2 linked regions of the Bombyx mori genome follow. The protein of the gene in region 1 purifies or fractionates together with the protein of each later gene. This does not show direct contact. Links are inferred from orthologs where the notes say so. Each region holds a gene or a part of one and is shown on either strand. Other genes may lie near its edges. The genes, in order: probable tyrosyl-DNA phosphodiesterase and DNA repair protein XRCC1.

Evidence for each region.
Region 2: the proteins of probable tyrosyl-DNA phosphodiesterase (region 1) and DNA repair protein XRCC1 purify together in Homo sapiens (affinity purification with mass spectrometry; 4 studies listed by BioGRID and IntAct, with this or other methods). This does not show direct contact. The link is inferred for Bombyx mori from reciprocal best matches to the Homo sapiens genes TDP1 and XRCC1.

Annotation. Positions count from the first base shown.
Region 1 is NC_085130.1:17,794,298-17,797,507, forward strand, and holds the end of probable tyrosyl-DNA phosphodiesterase, read left to right. Parts: intron 1-203; coding exon 204-306; intron 307-386; coding exon 387-486; intron 487-1,270; coding exon 1,271-1,481; intron 1,482-2,313; coding exon 2,314-2,436; 3' UTR 2,437-2,614; downstream 2,615-3,210. UniProt on the Homo sapiens protein: DNA repair enzyme that can remove a variety of covalent adducts from DNA through hydrolysis of a 3'-phosphodiester bond, giving rise to DNA with a free 3' phosphate.
Region 2 is NC_085124.1:497,703-502,305, forward strand, and holds the start of DNA repair protein XRCC1, read right to left. Parts: upstream 2,999-4,603; 5' UTR 2,546-2,998; coding exon 2,495-2,545; intron 1,315-2,494; coding exon 1,204-1,314; intron 891-1,203; coding exon 804-890; intron 445-803; coding exon 277-444; intron 1-276. Other genes in the region: uncharacterized protein LOC101737274, read right to left, coding at 4,037-4,603. UniProt on the Homo sapiens protein: Scaffold protein involved in DNA single-strand break repair by mediating the assembly of DNA break repair protein complexes. Negatively regulates ADP-ribosyltransferase activity of PARP1 during base-excision repair in order to prevent excessive PARP1 activity.

The sequences.
Region 1 (3,210 bases):
TTTTAAAGTAATGTTCGAAAACATTGAAATTTTTGCGAAGTAGTAACACTAAGAGTGTCATTGGCCACTATTGTGGCAAAGGTAATCCAGATAATTTAGGTATGTCAATTAATTAATAATAATGTGTTTGTTGCTTTGTATATATTTGTAACATCAAAGTACCAGGGCTTCATAATTCTAAGAAAGTAATGTTTTGCTTGCAGCTCTGGTTGACCGGAGATTTCCTTCACAACTTCACGAAAATCAAGAACCAATCGCAGATGTTGTCGTCTCCGCCTACTTTGAAACTGATTTATCCATCTTTAGGTAAGATAATCGTTTTCATAGGAATCGATATGGATATGTATCGAGTAATTGTTATGCTAAATATTGTTTTATGTTTACAGAAAACGTCAAACAATCTCACGACGATTTGTTAGGAGGCGGTTGCTTGCCTTACGCAGCCGAAGCGCATTCGAAACAACCTTGGCTAAATAGCTTTTTATAGTGAGCATATCATTATTAACCTTCTCATAATTCATGCCCCCCTAGTACCACAATCTATAATTAATCGAAAATAACTTGATAAAATTATAAAACTTCTTTTAATTAATTAATTTAATTATAAAGAGTTAGTGTTTTGCTTTTCTAGGGAGACGAACGAGCATACGACTCACCTGTTGATGAGTGGTCATTATTCGTTAAGTTACTTCTTCTTCTTCTTAATTTTGGCTCGGCACGTTAAGTTACTTTATTGCGGCGATTGTAGGATCGGTAAGATTGGATCTTATGCCTCTTATGGCAGGACGTGTGGAATGGGAGTTTTAAGGTGTGAGTGAGAGGAGATGTTAGAAAGGGACGGAAGTAGGAAACAAGATGGCGTAGATGATTCAGTAAACTGTATGAAAAGCTAAACCTGTGCATCAAAGTCTTATTTACCCGTCACGATCCTAATTCTACATGTTTGTTGGCGCGGAACGAACTTAATAGATTTTGAAGTAAAACTTCTTTACGTATGCTTGACTTGGGGACTAAGCTGGTGGATGCGTGACGATAGCGTTACGAAAAGTGTGATTGGGCGAGGCGAACGGAAGTTGAGAGGGAAATATAAGTTAGTGAATATAGAAAGAGAGAGAGAGAGGGGTGCAAGCACACATTTTCTTTCCCTCTTTCTCTTATAGCCTTTCTCGTATAATTAAGACACATTGCAGGCCTTTTCTCCGGTTGATGCACTCAAACAAAATGTTGACAGTGAATATTGACACCGGTAACCGTGTGGGACCATTTGCAGTCAATGGCGAGCTGCGTCCACGAATCGAAACCGGGCGATGCCCCACATAAAGTCCTACACCCGGGTGTCGAAGGACGGCAGGAAGGCAGCGTACTACCTGCTCACGTCGGGGAACGTCAGCAAGGCGGCCTGGGGCTCGACGAACAAAGGAAACGGAGCGCTCAGGATAATGAGTTACGAAGCCGGCGTGCTGTTCCTGCCAAAGTTCATTGTGAGTTTAGACATACTTCTTCATTGTTATGTTCTCCTGGTACATTTTTGGAATATTAACTTTTCTTTACGCATACCTCTGCGATGCTGTGCTCTCCTGATTGCATGTTTTATTTCGTAGTCGGATTTTAAAGTCCATTTTGATGTTAAGTGGTCATCGGAGTCCGTAGATTGAATTTCGTCTCAATCAATGACCTACGATGCTGACGTATTGTTCTTATTATAAAGTTCGTTGTGGGAGTTGAAGTGCATACTTCTTCATCGTTATGTTTTCCTGGTACATTTCTTTGAACATGTTTCGTTTTTATACGTATGTGTATGTATGTATGTATACCTCTTCGTTGCTATGGTCTCCTGGTTATATGTTTTATTGTGTGGTGGGATATTAAAGCCCATTTTGATGTTAAGTGGTCATCGGTGTCCATAGATTTATTGTTGTCTCCATCCTTGAGATAAGAGGTCGAAATGTGGTCCAATTTGTTGCTTCGACTATCACAAATGTAATAATTATTTATTTACACTTGTTTTTACAATTTTAATAAAATATTTGGTATAGACATGGTATGTGATTAAAGTGACATTTACACATTGACATATTGCGCTTACAATTTCTGACTTTCATGAGCCACGGTTATCATTCAGTGTCAGGTGGGACTTTCACTCGTCTTCCAACAAAGGCAATAAAGAAATCTTTTTTAGCTTAAATTTACACATCAAACTTTGCAAGACTTCTTTATCTTTATGTTATCCTAGTACTTACGTATTAGATTCAATATGTTGTTTGCTCTGCCTGTTTATGCCAATTTACACCAGAAATGCCTTTTTTTGCACAGACCAACGAAGATTACTTCTGTCTAGAACAAAACGCCCCGAACCGGCTTATCGTGCCATACGACTTACCGCCAGTCAAATATACGGATGGCATGTCGCCCTGGGTCTCTGATTACCTCATGTGAAGAAGTAGAAGAAGATTACATCATGATTGACTTGAAGACTCGACACTAGAGGCGCGCTCTCAAATTTCAATTCGATCCTAAAACACAGGAAATGGAAATCGATTTCAGAATTAAAAAAAAAGTACACTAGTGTCGAGAAACAGATTTGGTTTTTGTTCAATAAAATAATTGGTGTTTATTTATTTCTATTTTATTTATTGCATTAGTGTGCAGGTGGTTTGATGGTTAGTTACCCTAATTCATGACGCCAGGACAATGCCAAGCACCCGTCTGAGGAATCTCGCCAAATCTGAAGGTCATGTGGTCATCATCATCATAATCGGTTGCTCTTGGCAGAGCAGTCGTGGTCATGTGGAATTCTTGCTCATTAAAGCCTTAACAGATGTTTTCCACAGTTTGCGAACCGAGGCCCGGCGCACACACTCGTTAAGTGGGGTTTCAGTAAGGTCTTCCATCTAATCATGTGGTAGTGCTCTGGAAACACCGTGGTGAGGGATCATGCCAGAGCGGGAAGGTTCTTGGAAACAAGGTCTCTGGAGACGCAATGTGGATGAACGTAGTCCTATTATGTGAGAGTAATGGTAAAAGTAAGTCGTATGGTCGACTGTCCCTGACTAAAATCACATGTGGAGATCTAGATGCTGATATACATACATACATCATTTATACATCTATAATCTATACTAATACTAATAATATTATAAAGAGGAAAGATTTGTTTGTTTGTTTGTTTCGAATAGGCTCCGAAGCTACTGGACCGATTTGAAAAATTCT
Region 2 (4,603 bases), on another chromosome or scaffold:
TGCTGGACATAGGCCTCCCCCAAAACTCGCCACTGAACCCGATATTCGGTTCTACGCATCCAGTTACTGCCAGCTGCCTTGCGCAGGTCGTCACTTTATCTAGCAGGAGGACGTCCTACCCTACGTTATTTTAATGATGTTTAAAAAATTTAATTATGTTTTACTATTAGCGATCCTCATGACCGCGGGTTTTAGTAGTGTTTAATACTTATTATATATTACTTATAAAATATTAGTTAGATAGATAGTTATTAGGGCAACCGGGGCGCATGGTACCTGGCAGTGCCTGTTGTAGGGCTGCGCGCACACGACCCGCAGGCGGTCCCAGCGGCGCCCCCGGGCCGCGGCCGCCAGCTGGTCGCCGCGCCACGCCCGCACGCGCTGCACGCCCTCGGCGCGCCGGGACTCGCTGGGCGACAACATCACGCTGCTGGGGACCAGTACCTGAGCATGTCTCTCCGGTCACTCCACTGTCAATATCTATGTTTGAAAGCGACGGGCAGCAGAAGCAGCCGGGTGCCGGGATATGCCCTACATGATCCCTTGAGTTTTTCAATCCTATTTTTATTCTTATATAAAATTATAGACCCTGTTATTCATGGTGAAGACATTTGTTGACATCTTCAGATATGATGATAACCAGAGTAAAGCTACATTTTTGAATGTAACCTTTTTAGTGATTCCAAAGTACACTATTATTTTAGAAGCCTCCATATTTGAAACTGTTCCCTCCTAAGCATCCTAGATATTCATCAATTACAAGACCCCTAATGCAAAGTTCCCTAACAGTTGAGTAAACATACCTCAAAGGGTTCATCAGGTTTTTCAGATCTTCCAACGAGCACCTCCACAGTAGCAGCATGATGCACACCAAGATAGACTGATGATATCTGATTTTTAAGATGTTATTGGTTTTTTTGCCAGGTTTACTTGAGGAAAGTTGAAGTCATACACTATATAAGAAAACTATCTTGACTATTGTCTATTGATATATCATTATTATATCCACAAAGAAACCCATTTCCGAGTACAAATAATCAAAATATACAAAAACTATAGAAAAGAGTGATTTAGAACAAGGTATAGAACTATAGACCAGATTTACATTTCAGCATGCCCTTTTTGTATCGTAGGTTTGTATATCAAAATTACAAATATGAAAAAATTTAAGATTTTAATAGATCATGTTTGTTAAGAGCTTGCCTGGACTGCCTTGGCCAGCTGAAGTACGACTGAGCAGGAAGACTCTCCCTTGCAGCACAGCCATTTCTTCTTGTTCACTTCCAATGCCAACAGATTGTTAGCTGGGTGATCCTGGTAGAGAAGCAAAGATACTATTATGCTATACATGTTACAAAGAACATTACCCAAACCCTTTTTTTCTCCTGTGTTATGGATGGCAGAACACATTTGAGATGAAAATAAGTATCTCCAGACCCCAAATAAAAGAATTGAATTGTGGTATAGTTGTAAGTAAACACTAAAGCAGCAGGTTACCAGGGGTAAGATGTAGTCTAATAACATTGATATTATGTGGGCTTAGAAAAAAAAAAATTATATGGCTTAGAAATTTTTGAATTTAAATTAATAAAACTGTACTATATTTTTATTAATTAGGGTTCTACTGCATGCTCATTAAGTACAAAATAACTTTCCATTACATTTATGATAACTTTATTTTCAACTCTTGATTCCCATTCATACTTTGCTGTGATCAAATATATGAAATTGACTTTTGTCTATATGACATGGATGCCATTGTGTAGTATTTTTTTGTTACTGTTACTGTGTTAGTTCTTTATTTATTTATAGCTTAGATGGGGGGACGAGCTCACAGCCCACTTGGTTTTAGTGGTTATTGGAACCCATAGACATGTGCAATGTAAATGTCGCTACCTACCTTGAGAGATGAGTTCTAAAGTCTCAGTTTTTATAGTACAACCACTGCCCCACCGTTCAAACTGAAACACATTACTGCTTAACTGCAGAAGTAAGCAGGGTGGTGGTACCTACCAGTAATTACGCAAATTATAATTTTGCTGGTTTGATTTTTACTATACGATTACTCCGGGCAGAAGGTAGATGTATCGAGCAGTTGCGGTTTCTTCTATAAATCGAGTTTAAAAACAGCCACATAACATTAATTTGGATCCAAATGAGTTCATCAACATTCCTCATATAGTTCAATTTAAATGGCTAAAGAGAGAGGCCTGGTTTATAAAGTGAGACTAGTTTGGTGCATTTTGAATACGACAAAGGTATACATTATTTAAAAATATCCGATGACCTGGCTTACTGTCATCATCATATCGTTACAATCCCGTGCTTCGTGGTGGGCGGTGGGTAGGGCTTAGTAATTTATCATCCGGGAACAATCACTTACGATCAGGTAGGCATGTTTCAAGCAAAATTTAAAAATTCAACTACGGTTTCAATATCACTCATTGGTTTTTGTCAATTAATAGGTTAGATTATGATTAATATCAAAACTTACAGGATCCTCGCTGCTGAAGCTAACGACGTAATCAATTTTCACGCGCGGCATAGCGATACACCTTTATTTAGGAACATGTAATAATTTGGCCCTATAGTACTTGATAAAGATAATTGTTTTACCCTTAACGCACATTAACAATAAACGGTCACTTATGATGAGTTATTTAAAAAAAAAAAAAATTTTTAATAATTTATAGTTGGTTCGTTAAATTCGGTCGAAAATCGAAATTAAATTATTAATATTGTTTAGAAAACATTGAATTTTTTTTTCTTCATCCGTCGGACCGGTATCGTGGATTTACCTCATACAGCCAAATCATTTAAACGAAAAGCCCCAAGCCATGTTTGTGACATAAAAAGTGATGATAATGATGTTATTGCTTCGATTGATAGGTTTAATGAGGACAGAAGGTATGCTTTTTACTTTATTGAAAAGATAGATTTAGTTTAAACGCGTTTAAGCGTGGCTGTTCTGTGTTTAAACGTGTAATAATATTAATGAATAGGCTTAATAGTAATTTATTATCTGTGCTTCAATGTATAAATAACGGTATATTAACGAAAGCCAAATGCAATTTATAAAGAAAAAACAAGGAGAAACTTTTGTTTGATAGATACTCGTTTATTATATTATGCGTGTAGTCTATGGTTACTCGTAGGTCGTTACTCGTTAAGTACACAATAAATTTTAATTCGCATCTTATTTTGCATTTCCTTCTTACTTTATTCTTTGATATTTTATTAGAATTTAGGTTTTTGTAATGGGAAACTTACGTTTAAGTCTAATAAAAGCTGTGAAAATTATTAGACTTTGACCTGATGTGGCATGCACGTTGTTATATCTACAGGTTCCCCTAACCACTTAATATCAGGTCTTGTCTATCTAATATAAAAACGAAATAAAATTTAGGCGCGTGAATAAACTAATTTGAATAAATAAATAAAAATATTATTATTAAATTATTGTATATTAAATTATTATTATTATATATTGAATAAATGACTTTTGTCAGAACGACATTAATAATATTGTAAATGATAAAAGTGAACAATATCATTTCAAGCACGCGAGGCGCGGGCTCCCGTCCGTGACTGCGTCGGACTCACGCGACTCCTCTTCACTCTTCCACTTCCGATTGTTTTTAATCGGCATTGGCGATGAAAGTAAAATTTATAACATATTTGCGTTACAGTATGTGGAGTGGAACTTTTTAGTTTTTCTATATCAAGAGGATAATGATATTATTATTCCATTTATTTTATTTCATAAATAGATATTTACGAGCTATGTGCTAAAGTTGTAGACTTAGTAGATTGACATAACAATTGAATAAGCCGAGCATAAGTCGTAACCTAGTTTTTTTTCTGTCTAGGTACGTTACAATCAAAAGTTATAAATTATTTTTTAAAATATGCACACATTTAAAACGCCTTAAACTAGCTAAGGTCAATAAATGTAAATTTATTTACATTGGTATCAGACTGTTACGAAACTAAATAAATCTCATCACTATTTATAAATTAAGTAATTTAAATAATATTAGCTTCTCGTTATCCTGTGTTTGTGCACGCGTATGATGACGGGTGATTCCGTAGGAATTTTTTTCTTTGGCAGTATCTTTCGTTTCTTGGTAGGTTTTTTGTGGTAAGAATATCCTCCGAGCGCTGTAGGCTGAGCGTACAATATCGTCGGAGACGACTCTTGGCTTGAATCATATGAATTGTGATGAGATTTTAGGTACGAGTATGGAACGGATGATGAATATAAACGTCCAAGGTCCGTCTCAGCAGAGAGCGTAGATTCAGCGTAAGTGGGATATTCGTAAGGACGCGGACGTGGATACTCTTTATGAGAGAAAGATGTTTGTGGGTATTCCACGAAAGATGGTCTTGTGTGTGTAGGAAAGTAGAGCTTGGAGAAGTCTGGTGACGTAAGGGAAGAGAAGTCAGACGAAGAGAACGTTTTCCCATAGAAAGAATTTCCCTGAGAAGGTCTGTTGTATTGTGACGAGGAGAACGAAGGTGTACTGTAATGAGTATGGTAGCTCGGCTTGGAGTAAGCCGAATGATGTTTGGACGCGGAGTGATGGAGGTCTCTGTTGGGTGC